Linked DNA regions of Nothobranchius furzeri. The protein of the gene in region 2 interacts with the protein of the main gene of each other region in a biochemical or structural test. Links are inferred from orthologs where the notes say so. Each region holds a gene or a part of one and is shown on either strand. Other genes may lie near its edges.

Region 1 (7,604 bases), about 500 kb from region 2:
CTCAAAGGGGGTGTGTGCAAACGTTGGAGGAAGCGTAGATCACCTTTCCAAATATATTTGAGTAGACGCTTATTAATAAACCGCGTTGTAAACAAATCTGTAATAAACGATGTGTACAATAAATCATTAAACATTGAATTCTTATGCATCAACTATATGAATAATTAAGTTCAAGGTGAGAGGAAATGCTGGATAATTCACAGACTGGGATCAGAAAGCGGTGGGAGCGAGAACCGCAGAAGAGAGCGGCGCGTGCGCGCACAAATAAACGCGAGCGCTCCTCCCACACAGGAAAAGAGAAGCGCGCTCCAGCGTCTCCACAGGGGTGAAAGGAGGCCATTTATTTTTTCAGGTAAACTGGAGGGGAGAACGTGCCTTACTGGTTTAATCCCACGTAACTGTTTAACCCACGTGACTGTAAAGGACTGTCGCTCAAAATGTCTGAACAGTTAGGTTTTTGTGCACAAATTTAAAGTCACCCCGTGTTTTTGTCTTTTTTTTTTCCAGCAATGTGGACCGAGCAACTAGGGAAACAACTTGGCAACCCCACACGGTCACTGGGGGGATGGTTGGTCAGCAAACTTTTTAAAATCCGCAACCAGGTTCTGGAGGACAACGCAGTGCAGCTTTGTGGGATCCAGCCGGGTGACACAGTTCTAGAGCTGGGTCATGGTCCTGGTCTGGGTCTGCAGTCTGCAGCCAAGCTCCTCACTGAGCCCACGGGCCACCTTATAGGGGTGGACTACTCTGAGTACATGCACCAGGTGAAGCACGGTTTATAAGAACTACAACAGCTCGATGGTCTAGTGGAATATATTTATATGTTCCTTTTAGAATAGTTAATAATTTGCTCTGTTGCAGATGGCAAAAGAAAGGATGAAGGATTTCATTGCCAGTGGTAAAGTGACCTTTCACCTCTGTGATGTTGCTGCAATGCCTCTGGCTGATGACACAGTAGATAAAGTATTTCACTGTAACTGTTACTACTTCTGGCCTGATCTCAACAAGGCAGCCACAGAGATACACCGGGTCATGAAACCAGGTAATATGACGGTTACATCCACCTAACATAAACCTGCTGCAAACATTGTTGTTTCCTGATTTTTAACCCATTCAGGAGGTCTGATGGTAACCACAATGAGACTTTCCCATGTGGCTGTTTTGGGAGCAAAGCGAGTGATGCCAGGAGAGAACTGGCGTCCAGATGCCTACATGGCAGCGCTCAGAGACTCTGGCTTCACTGATGTCAAAATGGAAGACAAATATCATCACAACATCCCTTTTCAGGCGATGTTTGCCACTGCTTCAAAATGAGATGTACCGTCAAGCTGTATGTGTGATTCTATCAGTTTGTTTTTTTAAATAATAATAATAATCACAGTGAAGATAAAGCTCTAAATTATTTTCAGATTCTCAGTTGTGTCACAACATTTAGTTCTGTGCTCTCATTGTGCAGATGAATTCTATTTTAAAGACACACAGATGAATTGTTACATTGAAATGTTTTAGTCGCAATTAGACATTTTTCTGTTAAAGTTCTGAAAAAGTTGGGAATATGTGTCAAGTTAATATTCACATTTCTAGGCAATAATTAGAATAGTTATTTTCTCTAAAACACACTAAAAATGATTAAAACTATACATTCATAGACTAATAATGTTGTTTAAAGAAGTAAGAATCTTTTTAATGTAGTTGATAAAATGTGGGAAACTCCTTTACTTTGTTATTATTATTTTTTTAAGTAATTTAGAACAGACGACACTAAATCATTCATGTTCTGTACCACTCATGTTCACTCGATCCAGCAAATTTATAAGAGGTGAGACCCAAGACAGATACCAATCTAAGAGGCTGAACTCTCAAGTGAGTTTTCTCTTCACACACAAAACCCGAGAGTCGTTTAGTTGTCGCCACTGGAGAACGACAATTCATCTGAGTTTGAAGTCCTGTATATCAAGCTGGGTTTAGCTCTTTTACTCCACAGAATTATCATATTTCAAACTAAATAAATACAGTTTAATTGTTTTCTTATTCAGCTAAATAGTATATAAAGACTGTTAGGTCGAGTTTTCTTGTCGCAAACACGCTAAAACGTTTTATTTTGAAAAAACTCAGGAAGTGTTTCTACCAAACCTAAAAAAAGAATTAGTATATCTTCTCCTCATTTGTTCTCCTAAATTTTATTATTCATAAGAAAACAAAAGAAAAAGAAAGATTATGACTTTTTAAATCAGCTTTATTGAAATATAAAACCTAAATGATCTCTTCTAAATGGTTTAACAGAACTATGGTGTAGTTTCGCCCTAACTCCACTAGATGGCGGTAGTTCCCCTCGCCGTTCACGGATTTGTAAATCTCTCTTCTTCTGCCGAATGTTATTACTCCCAAGAGAACAAAAAATAGGATTTTTCAGCTTTATTGAGATAAGAAAAAAACATGCAAAATCCACACAGAAAGGCCAGAGAAAACATTTGATTCAAATATCCATTTGATGCAGAAGAATAGTCAAAAATAGTATATTACAGAAAGACTGGAAGAGAATTAGAGAAAAATTTCTAAAAAAATTAATGTTGGAAGAGGTAAGATGCACAGTTAGAAACATGCGTGAATATTTTGATACTCAAACAGGATACACTGTTTTGTTTAAACTTCAGCAAACAACCAGAAATATTTCAACAGAAGAAGAATAAATATTTTTATTTTCTTGCGGAATATTTGAAGCAATATTAAATAAAAAAATAGACAATCTTGAGAAAAATAAAGAAAAAGAAAAACACTTGTAATATTCTATTAGTATCAGTTGGTGGAGGTAATGCACCAATCTGTGATTTCAAGCTACACGAAGAAGAAGCAGCGCGAGGCGGCGGCGCGTCGAGAGGGAAATCCAAAAACAACTCCGCCAACAAGTAAATCTTGTGAGAAGTTTAACCGCTCAGAGCAGAGGAGGACATCAGCTGGGAAACGTGAGTGAATAAGAGAAAACATCGATGCTTGTTTGTAACAATGAGCCTGCTAACCCTAACCCGAGCTAGTTTAACCAAATTCTTACCAGAAAGCACGATTATCTCAGCGTTTATCTTCACATACCCTCCTTATTTTATGTATTTATTTATGTTCCGCCTCTAAAAGAATGCAAAGGGCTTCCCGTTTGAAGCGTGAACTTCAGATGTTGAGCACCGATCCTCCTCCCGGGATCACATGCTGGCAGACCGAGGAACGGATCGACGACCTCCGGGCACGTAAGTCCCACCAAGTCCCTGAATCTGAAACCACTATCATACAATCTTAGTAGAACAGAACCCATGCAGTAGCTCCATTTTTACTATCAGAGGCTTCTATGTCTTTATAAACAACAGCCATCAACGTTTTGGGGATAAATCTAGACTTTTGTCCATAATTAACAAACATGATCTGACTGCAGTGTGTGTTTTTGGTGTTCTTCAATACTTCGAAATGAGTAAAGTGTCTAAAACTTTAATATCCATCCTTAGTAATAATGGTTATTAACTTTTCTTATTATTTACTTGGATGTTGCTGTTCAAAAACTGTTTTTTTCTCTTCCTTGCAGAGATAGTAGGAGGAACAGGTACTCCTTATGAAGGTGGAGTCTTCTCCCTTGAGGTCAAGATACCAGAGAGGTTTATATTTTATTTGCATTGATGAAACTTCTGCAGTTTTTTTTTACTAGACACAGTAACTTGCCAAGTGTTTACCATTCTTTTCACACAGATATCCATTTGAGCCTCCAAAAATGCGATTCTTGACCCCAATCTACCACCCAAACATCGACACCTCGGGGCGTATCTGTCATGATGCTCTCAAACTACCACCAAAGGTTGTGAGAATAAAATAAACTTTTGATGTGCTTTATTCTAATTTTTTTCTTGCTTTGTACCACCTGATTGTTTGTGTATATGAGCGCACACACACACACACACACACACACCACACACACACACACACACACACACACACACACACCACACACACACACCACACACACACACACACGCACACACACTCACTCGTGTGTGTATGATCACTTTGTTTTCTGTGTTTTTTTCAGGGTGCCTGGAAGCCGTCTCTGAACATCTCCACTGTTCTTACCTCGATTCAGTTGCTCATGGCTGAGCCCAATCCAGATGACCCACTGATGGCAGATATCGTAGGTCATCTTCTTTTAGAAACGTGATCTCATGCTTCCTATTGGTTAGTTTTTATAAACATATTGGTTCCTGTGAGTTAACATCAATGAGGAGTTTAATGAGAACCTGTTTTTAAGATATTTAATTTGAAAGTTTCTGTGAAATCTGGTTTATTTTAACATTGAAACTGTATCTGTGAGCATGTCCAATCAAATGGATAGTTACAGTGCATGTTTCTGACTTTCAATTTTCTGTTTCAAATTCAGTCTTCAGAGTTCAAATACAACAAACACGTGTTTGTGGAGAAGGCCAGGAGGTGGACACAGGAACATGCAGTTCAGAAGAACACTGTAAGCTCTTATTCTCTCATTCACACCGTGGTTCTGCCAAACAGCCACTCCATTACATCTCATCTTCTAGCCCGTTTGGTTCTGTGAAGACCTCTGGGGCAAACTCAGAGGTGGATCAACTTCAACCATCTATTCTGTCACCGTTGTTTCACACCTGACACAGATGCAGGAAGGCGTAGGGCTACTGGAAAATATTTAGTGATTTTCCTGATTTATTAAAATGGTTGATTTCATTGTTCACTCAATCTGTACAATTTTGGTTAGATTTTTTTTATCCTTAATGGTGTAATCATGTGCGTTGGCTTACTTGAACCACTAAGGGGTGCTAATTTCAAAAGAAAACCTCATCTTTTAACATTGAAAAGCACAAGTTGTACATGTAAAGGGAAGGTTTTGAGCCACCATAGTTCATGTGTGCTTTGCTTCACTCATTTTTGTGCAGACACACTAAGTTGGTCAAAGTGTAATGGAGTTTACTAAAAGTGCAGAAACTGGTTCCCAAAAAGGGTCTTCCTATGACCGAAATGAAAAATTAGTCAAACTCCAAAGCAGATGTTGATCGATCTTATTTTTTCTATTGCTGATGTCGATAGATAAAGGTCATGGTCAGCCGACGGCCGGTGTCGGTACAGGATCTGCTCGGGTGCAAGATCGGCTCGGGGTCCTTCGACTGCCGATGACGTCAAAGTACGGCAAACCCACTCGGACAAAATACACTACACATCTATACTGTTGGAAAGAATTTAGCAGTTTTGTTATTAAAATAATGTTTCTTAAGACATAAGTTTGTGTTTATAATGGTATTTGTAAAATAAAACACTATATTTTATTCATAATGTTGAACTCCTCTTTGAGCACATCCCTTGAAGAATCATAGGTATTAGCAACACCTGTGAAATTGTATTTGCAGGAAAGAAGTGTGTCCCGTTTATTGAAGTATTTTGTTTTTAGAGTTTTTGACGTCTTGTCCATGAGTAGTTCAGTTACACTCATAGCTGCTAGCCAAAACTCTGGAGTTAAAAGTTTTCTGGCTTTACTAAAATACCTGTCTGTACTTATTTGATTGATGATATTTTTACTTTCTATTAGACTCCAAATGTAATCATTTGGCACGTTTCTAATTCATAATTTGTAATAACGTAATCGGCGATATTAGCATTAGCATTCCTATGGGTTTTTCCATGTATATCAGCATTGCGCTAACCACTCGCTGCCAAATTGCAGCCTTTGAGATTAGAAAATCTCCTTTTGTCACATCGCAATTTAATTGCACATGCAGTTAATCTTTCAGCCCTAATATACATACAGCTCTATGCTAAAAGTGTATTTTCAAAGAGGTAATGACGGATTTCTTTGTAAAAGTTGTCCATCTTTCCAATAGAAAGATTTGCCTGGACGAACGTAACGTGATAACAACGTAACGTGATTAAGTAATTCCGTAAGGTTCATGTTCAGCCAATCAACTACTTAGACGTCATCGGCAGTCGACGGACCCCGAGCCAATTTTGCACCCGAGCAGATCTTGTACCGACACCGGTTTGTGCTGCAGATGTTTTGGGCCAATTTTTCATGGCCAATATCGAGATGTTTTCCATCTTATTATTTTTTTTTTGCTAAAATGTCACTAATAACATCAGTTGATGCACAAAATTTCAGAAATGGAATCAGCTTTTGAACACTGACTTTAGCCAGCTGTTAAATCGGTGTTAAAATAAGACATCTGTCTAAAGTTACTCAAACAAATCAGTAAACTGACCAAGTGTTAAATATTCCAAACTGGTAAATAAAAATACATTTTCATTGGAAATAGTTTTTATAGCAAAGATGTTATTCAGTAACATAAAAATGCACTTAAAATATAATCTGCGTTAGCTTCAGGCTGCCCAGGGATGTGCCTGACTTTAAATCAGCTTTACTAAGGAGGTATATCTGCTGATTTCGATATATAAAAAAAGGTCAAATATTGACCCAGTATATTGGCTGACCAATGTATCGGGCTACCCCTACTCCAAAAATAAACTTGGAAAATTCTTATGAAAGCCTGAAGGCTGTTGACTCATTGGGGAAAAATGATAGTGGAATGAAGAGTTACTTAAGACTTATGCACATTTCTACAACCAGATGGGACCATTTGAGTTTCTGCATTTCTCTTTAAAGTTGCAGAGGAGCACCAAAAAGCTGCAATAGGCCTGTTAGTCTAAATCAGTTTTCTGTGTTTTTGTTCAGGGAGTTGCAGAGAACGACAAAGAAAACACTCCAGATCAGAAAGTCCCTCCAAAACGAGATGCGTTCTCTCAACAGGAGACAGAAAAACCAGCAAAGCGACATTGTGTGTAGCTTCAACATCGTTGCACATCTGTTGACTCTTTGTGGTTTGAATCTGCAATTTAGTATTAATGCTGCCTTTCATTTATTACGTATAATCCGTAGGTTTTGCACATGTATACACAATCTGTATTGTAATTGTAATAAAGTTAAATAATGTTGTGTGTCACGTCTTGACCTTTAATGCGTTATGGTGGTGAGGCAGAGCGCTAGATGTATATAAAGTATGAAGATCATAATTTTGTTCAGACATATGCTTAACAGTAGTTTATTAAGTATGTACAACCTAACTAGTACACATTTTTGTTTTTACAAACTAAAAGATTTTATTTCTTAATATATAAAATAATATAATTGTTTATAAAAAAGGAGACAAATATCATGAGGCTGTAGTTTGTCAATACCGTAGTTCAGAGGTAGTTACATTGTTTATATATTTATAAATGCCGATTGCTATCCTACTCCAAAGTCAGCAGAAATATAGCTATGTACCATTGCATTCATGACTGCATTACACCTGTAGAGCAGAGGTAAATATTTGAGACAGGGACATGCAAACCATACAAAACCATGTGAAATTCGCTTCTGCTGCATTATGTTGCCCCTACAGAACACTTATCTAATAGCTGTTGTATCGGACATTTGTAAAGTTCTTTATCGCACAATGTTGCTGTAGAAAACACTTCCAGCTTACGCTGGTAAAATGATCAGGCGTGTTTGACAAAGATTCCCCTTTTGGAAATAGAACTCAGCAAGAAGAACTTATTAAAAAGTCCATTTAAAA
Region 2 (6,951 bases):
CAATATTTCCTTTGAAACATTGTGCTTACATATTTAAAAAATGTTAGAAAAAATACATGGCCATTTTTAACACTTTATTGAATGCAGATCGAAGGGCAGTTACGGCATTTTCTGACTGAACTTAAAAACAACATTCAGGAGGTTTAATTTTGAAATGCAAATTTGGCTGCAACATATAACAGAAATAAAAAAAGTGCCCGTTGTGTTTTGTAGTTTAAAGTATACAAAATGAGATGTCCTAGGCACTGTCATTTCACTTTCACACACAAGAATAACTTATAACTCGGTCATGTCCTTGTTACGCGCAAGGAAAACCAGCATGTTAACTTTATGCGGTTTGAGAGAGGATCTGAGAGGGGTGACAACATTTCCAGCGACACTAAAAACCCTCTCGGATGGTGTGCTTGTTGCGCAAATACACATGTACTTACGTGCGACCTTGGAGAGCAATGGAAATCTCCCATGTTTGTTGCGCCACCATGTCAGAGGGTTTTCATTATGGTCAATGGGTTCCTCCTGCAGGTAGCGAGTGAGCTCCAGCTCGGCTCTAACTCTCTTCGGGGCGGTTACAGAAGACGTCCTTGTCCGTGACTTCAGCAGGTCTCCAAGCGTTTTTTTCTTTGCCGCTGGTGGCAGCACTGCCTGCTCCAAGGTCTCTGGCTGGGCTGCAGCTGACGCACTGACACCGCTCCCTCCATCTTCCATGTGTACTATCTCCTCGATCAGCGCGGACTTTACCTCTCAGCATGCGCTGTCGCGATATTTAATCAAGTGCGGTAATGGCGGTGGCACGTCCTGCAGCGCGGTGGGTTTCTTAATATCGCGATATTTTCTTCTTGCGGTTACCGCAACAGCCCTAGTGTGCATATCTGTCTGAGGTGTTTTTTTTTTTGTTTTTTTTTGTATAGCAAAGCTACCCTCTCAGGTGAGGGTAACACTGAAGTGCCTTTTTTTTTCCCTCCCCCTGATTTTATCCTCATAAACCCTCTTGATCTATTACGGTAGCGCGACTCGGGTTGCGAATGACCACAGTCGCCAATTCTTGTCATGTATGTATGTCTGATCTCCAAATTGTGTGTACTGAAACTCTTTATTTCTCTCTATTCTTATTTCCCTCTGGGATTAATAAAGTATTATTGAATTGAATTGTCCCAGAGGAGGTCTTGTTTTTGACATGTATGCATTCTTTACATTTGCATCACACAAGTCCAATGTCTTGTTTTCTCTGGTGGAGCAGCTGACAAACTGTTGAAATGTTGGAAGTGTAGCAGAGAGCGAGGCATGATTAAAATCACCAGATATAGCCACAAATGCATTGGGGTGCTGGGTTTGTAGCTTAGCGACAACTGAACTGATGGCATCACATGCACTTTCAGCAATGGCTGAAGGTGGAATATAAACGGTTGCCAAGACAACACTGGTGAACTCTCTTGGCAAATAATATAGGTGACAACTCACTGCCAAGAGATCTACATCTGGGCTACAGAGACATTTCACTGAAACATGACCTGGATGGCACCATCTGTTGTTGACTAGCACTGCCACTCCCCCTCCTTTTCTTTTCCCGCTCCTCTTCAGTTCTCTGTGAGTGCGTTTACATGCAGCCAGTAACCCTTTTAAAACCCGAATATTCACAATAACCCGGTTCCGCAGGTCCATGTAAACACCGTCAAAAACCCGGATATGCTCATAACCGGGTTTTTAAAAACCTGGTTACTACACCTGGGGTAACCCTTTTCTAACCCGAATGTTTGGTCGTGTAAACGCATATCGGGATATCTCCATCAAAGCGTGTGTTCTGCGCATGCTCTGTTCGCAAGGAATCTTGGTCTTTTGAGTAGCGAGACATCTTGTATGCGCCAGAACACCGGAAGTAAACGACAAGTTGGGAGCAACATGGCGAGTCGCGGCACAGCACCACACTTTTGGAGTGACGAGGAAACTAAAGCGCAAACAAACGCGGTCGCTATCTCTTACGAACTGGGAAACATGTTGTTTTCACGGATACCGGAACAAGAAGAACCGGAAATGACGCATATTGGGTCTGGACGTAGTCCATACGTCCTGACGCTACCCCATCGTCCGCATTTAAATCAGGTTATGCAAGTTGGGGGTAACTCTTTCTATTTATGCTTGTAAACTGGTTATTCTGATCAACTTAGAAACCCGAATACCGACCTTAACCCGATAATAACCCGGATATTGGCTGCATGTAAACGTAGTCTGTCACGTCTCAGTGAAACACATAACACTGCACTGCCGAAACTCTGGCTGAGTCCTTGAAAGAGCTTGGAGTTCATCCATCTTGTTGGCCAGTGATCTCACATTGCCCATTGTGATCGATAGAAGAGATGGTTTGAATTTCATCTTTGTCTCCGTTTTGCTCCCGCTCTGCGCCCACGCTTCTTGCGTTTTAGCTCATTTGGGATTTGTGGCTTCAGTTGAGGTATTATTTCCCCCTTCCAATGTTAATCAGCTGCTCCCAATTGTAAACCAGCTTGTTGCCATGGTTACACATCATAACAAATGCTCAAAAAGTGGAAAAAAAAGGCAGTAAAAATCCTCTAAGCTTCACAGCACCAGAAACAGAAAAGTAAAATGTCCAAAAAATACGGTTTTTCTTGAGAAACTAGAAGAAAAAATGTCCAAAAAAAGGCTAAACTTGCTTATAGTCAACAGAGCTACTCCAACATGCAGCCACCCAGAGCAGAGCAGCTTTAAGCATTTTTTTCTCCCAACTTTTAACTCATTAACTGCCAGCTGTTTCCTGATCAGAAAAGCCCTTCGCTGCCAGCAATTTTCAGCGTTTTCTCTGGGGTGTTTTTTTGGGAAGAGTCACAGAACGTTCTGCTTTATGATGATGTCAACACCAAAACAAAGCAGAGGCTCACTTTTTACATCGGGAAGAATCCGCGCGTTTCGAGCGTTATCCGTTCTTTCATAATCCGTTGTCGAATTGTGATCGGCAGAAGCTTTTCCGATCCGCCTCACTTTTTTTTACAGCAGTAGCCCAAAACGATCTACCACATGGATCTTCTGCTTCCTGATCACGTGACGTGTGACATACGCGGATGAAGTTCAGCTAGAGTGTTTGTTCTCACGGTGCGGGGGCTCGTTCCGGTGCCCACATGGTAAAAAAAAAAAAAGAAAAAAAAAAAGGGAGTTAAGATTTGGTCACTTAATTTCTGTTGTTAATTGATTGGTCACTTCCTGTTCAACACGCACATTTTCATAGATGGAATAAAGTGGTAAAAGTAGATGGCTCTTGATGACTGATGTTGTTGCATTAAAATGCTTTAAGATGCTAATCAGTTAACAGTTAATGGCTAAGATGTTCTAATGTTTGAAATTATGATTATGTATCACAATAAAACACATATTTAGAGATTAACTGTGAAGCTTTCTACTATCGTGACACAAATTATCTTCAATACTAACTAGCACGCACTAAACTAGAAAATAACTTTCTTTTTTTTTTGTGGAGTGCATGTTTACTGTGGTTTAGTTGTTTAAGTTGCTTTATTGTTAGACCAACATGTCTGAGCAGGTTTGGGTGAAAAGGCTGCAGATGGGAGGAGTGCTGGAGAGGTTCTGGCAATAACTTAAGCCGGGCGTACACTGTGTGACTTTTTCACTTTTTTGAGCCGATTTTCCACTCGTGCGAGAATCCACGAGATCAGGGCGAGTTTTGCGTCGAGCGTCATGTAGTGTACAGGGGGTTACGAAAGGCGATTAACACCACGTGACCAGCTGCCGATCAGCAATCGTGAGCTCGCACGGACTTCTGGCGTGTTTAATATTTTGCTCGTGCCTCGTGAGGGTATCGCACTGTTGAAGCGGCGCTGCGAGCAGCTGCGACCCAAAATGTATCAGAACCGCTCACGGCACATGCGCAATCCTGCATCAACACCGCTCCCCGCTATTTCCCTAATAACACACGCTGTTCGTTTTAATTTCTACACGTTTTTTTTACTCACAAAGATTGTCAAGAAAGCGTGTTAGTCGTGTTCATGTCAAATTAAACTGATCACAAAACACAGATTTACTTTCTTTATTTCGTTTTCCTCATCCAAACCCCATAAATCGCTGTGCGTCCTCCTGCAGCACTCCCGAAGGACAACAGGCAAAACAAGACAAAAAAGTAACGTGTTGAGTAAAAACGGCTATTTTTAGGTCCGATGTGTTGCTACCAGACGTACAGTGTGAGCAGTCAGGTCGCATCCGAGAACTGGGTCGTGCAGTGTGAGCGCATGACTCGTGAGATCTGCCCTGCGAGGAAGTCTTACAGTTTGAGCTGAAGCGGAGTGCTTCGAGTGAAAAAGTCGCACAATGTACGCCCGTCTTAAGACTTCTCTTTTCATCTCGTTCACATAAATGGGGCTGTTGGTGTTTTTGTCCCTCCTGACATCTTGTATTTTGTCTGTGGTTAGTTTTACATTCGGGAGGAGGATCTGGGGCAGAACAGAGCAGAAGTGAGTCAGCCCCATTTGGCTGAACTCAACAACTACGTTTCTGTGACTGCGTACACCGGAGAGCTCACTGAAGACTACCTTACCAAGTTCCAGGTAAACCTGCAATATAATATAAAGACTTTATTTTCCTGGTGAGAAAAGAGCATTTTTTTTTAATGTTGGTGTCTATGGTTTTCCCCAAGGTGGTGGTGCTGACTAACTCAACTCTAGATGAACAACAGCGTTTGGGGGAGTTTTGTCACACTAAAGAAATCAAGCTGGTTGTTGCAGACACACGCGGCCTATTTGGGTAAAGCTCACTCTTGTTTTTATGTTTTCTGTTGACTTCAGTACAAAGCCAGTTGTTAGACTATTTTCTGTTTCTTTCGTCTTGTAGTCAACTGTTCTGTGACTTTGGGGAGGAGATGGTAGTATATGATACCAACGGAGAGCAGCCGCTTAGTGCCATGATCTCCATGATCACAAAGGTTAGCTTGTTCCTTTCATGTTTGTCACATAAAAGACGATTGACTTTAACAGGAAGGTTGCTGATCTGTGTCTTTAGGACAGCGCCGGTGTTGTAACATGTCTGGATGAGGCTCGTCACGGGTTTGAGAGTGGAGACCACGTCACCTTCACAGAGGTGCAGGGTATGACAGAGCTCAACGGGTGTCAGCCAGTGGAAATCAAAGTCCTGGGTCCATACACCTTCAGCATCTGTGACACGACAGGCTTTTCCGACTACATCAGAGGAGGGATCGTCACCCAAGTTAAGATGGCAAAGAAGATCAGTTTTGTAAGTGGTTAGAGGGCATTCGAGGTGCCACTGTCATTTCTAATGTTGCAACTAATCAGCACATAACCATCACTTTTCCTCTGCAGAAATCCATCTGCACCTCCATGGCCGAGCCAGAGTTCATGCTGACAGATTTTGCTAAATTTGACCATCCAGGACAACTTCATGCAGGCTTCCAGGCGATCCATGCATTCCAGAAGAAACACAGCCGCCTTCCGGCACCTTGGAGCCAGGTATCTGTCCGACTGCATAGTTGGAGGTTTAGTATCTAACGTATATTTTTGATTGACTGGCTCCACAGGAGCTATCCTGGAAGCCTTTGTAATGGCTAGCCCTGGTGATAACTCAGCAGAATGCATGGGCAGTGCCAGTGTGTATTTGATTTAGTGAGATTGGTAAATTGCTGAGCTTTGTGTTTTCCAGGCTGATGGTGAAGAGTTACTGACTTTGGCCAAGGAGGTGAACTCTGCTCAGACGGGCTCTGCCAAAGTGGAGCAGCTGAACGAAGCGCTCATCAAGAAGATGGCTTATGTCGCCGCCGGGGATCTTTCTCCTATCAATGCCTTCATCGGGGGCGTGGCTGCACAAGAAGTGATGAAGGTTGGAGGAAAATGCATAAACTAAGAGCTGCAGAATAAAAATCCAAAACCTTTTAACCAGACTTGAATGTTCAAAGTGATCAGTACAAATAAGTTTGTTAAATATTTTACATTCTGTGTCCTGTCAGGCCTCTACGGGGAAATTTATGCCTGTGATGCAGTGGCTGTACTTTGATGCTCTGGAGTGTCTGTCTGAAGGGGACGACGTCATGCTCACAGAGGAAGAGTGCTCGCCTGTCAGTGTTCAGAGAATATTAAAGTGTTTTTCACTGAAGACAAAACCACACGACTGCTGAGGAAAACCTCGGTGTTAACCTTTTTTTATTTTTACGTCTCTGCTTTTCTAGAGGAACTGTCGTTATGACGGGCAGATCGCCGTGTTTGGCACAAAGCTTCAGGATATGCTAGCCAACCAGCGCTACTTCCTGGTGAGTCACAATAGGGACTTTTAAACAGGAAGTGCCTTTAAAAATGTCTGAAAACGGTGGCACTACAGTAACTTTAAAAGTACACAGACTAATAATAATTTTGTATTTTTTGGCCTTACATGGGTTAAAGCAGGAATTGAGTTCTCCGTCGTGGCGACGGAAATCTGTCAGTTGGAATAATCAGAAAAAAGTTCAGTCAAAATCTCTTATTGCGCTCGCTTGGGTTTAGTAGTCTCTCGCTCTCTCCTGTTTCTAATTGAAACGCGCACCGGTATTGTTGAAACGTGTTTCTGCACCGCCCAAGCTGCAAAAACGCGTGCGCTCATTGCTCGCTCCCACGGTGCGCACAAACAAACTGCGCCCGCACCAGGCGCTGGGATTCTAACAGAGCCAATAAAGCTCTGATATCACAATGAGAGTTAACGTAATGAGCGGAACCAGGACCCAAATTCCCGGTGGGCCGATCTGAGGTCGGTGTTTTTAGTTGTCTCTTTGTTTTTTTCGGGCCTGTGTTCAGTCATGACGCTCTGCTGATCACCTGCTGATGAGAGGATTTCTCCTGTCAGTGGAACAGGTGAGCTGCTGAACAAGCGTTAGTTCCTAGAAACACTGTCTATGCCCAGACTAGTGACCTGTTATTTGTAATTTTATAATTAATATTAAGGGAATGCACTAAA

Evidence for each region. The genes of interacting proteins can lie anywhere in the genome.
Region 1: of the proteins of uba1 (region 2) and ube2t, one has a biochemical effect on the other in vitro, tested with the Homo sapiens proteins (4 studies listed by BioGRID, with this or other methods). The link is inferred for Nothobranchius furzeri from reciprocal best matches to the Homo sapiens genes UBA1 and UBE2T.

Annotation. Positions count from the first base shown.
Region 1 is NC_091755.1:24,717,419-24,725,022, forward strand, and holds ube2t (ubiquitin-conjugating enzyme E2 T), read left to right. Parts: upstream 1-2,835; 5' UTR 2,836-2,963; intron 2,964-3,129; 5' UTR 3,130-3,130; coding exon 3,131-3,239; intron 3,240-3,568; coding exon 3,569-3,638; intron 3,639-3,729; coding exon 3,730-3,835; intron 3,836-4,066; coding exon 4,067-4,165; intron 4,166-4,411; coding exon 4,412-4,495; intron 4,496-6,721; coding exon 6,722-6,832; 3' UTR 6,833-6,989; downstream 6,990-7,604. Other genes in the region: zgc:194242 (uncharacterized methyltransferase YdaC), read left to right, coding at 510-764, 862-1,042, 1,118-1,314. UniProt on the Homo sapiens protein: Accepts ubiquitin from the E1 complex and catalyzes its covalent attachment to other proteins. Catalyzes monoubiquitination. Involved in mitomycin-C (MMC)-induced DNA repair.
Region 2 is NC_091755.1:24,215,141-24,222,091, reverse strand, and holds part of uba1 (ubiquitin-like modifier-activating enzyme 1), read left to right. Parts: intron 1-4,430; coding exon 4,431-4,565; intron 4,566-4,654; coding exon 4,655-4,761; intron 4,762-4,848; coding exon 4,849-4,939; intron 4,940-5,016; coding exon 5,017-5,247; intron 5,248-5,333; coding exon 5,334-5,480; intron 5,481-5,670; coding exon 5,671-5,847; intron 5,848-5,974; coding exon 5,975-6,082; intron 6,083-6,193; coding exon 6,194-6,274; intron 6,275-6,951. UniProt on the Homo sapiens protein: Catalyzes the first step in ubiquitin conjugation to mark cellular proteins for degradation through the ubiquitin-proteasome system.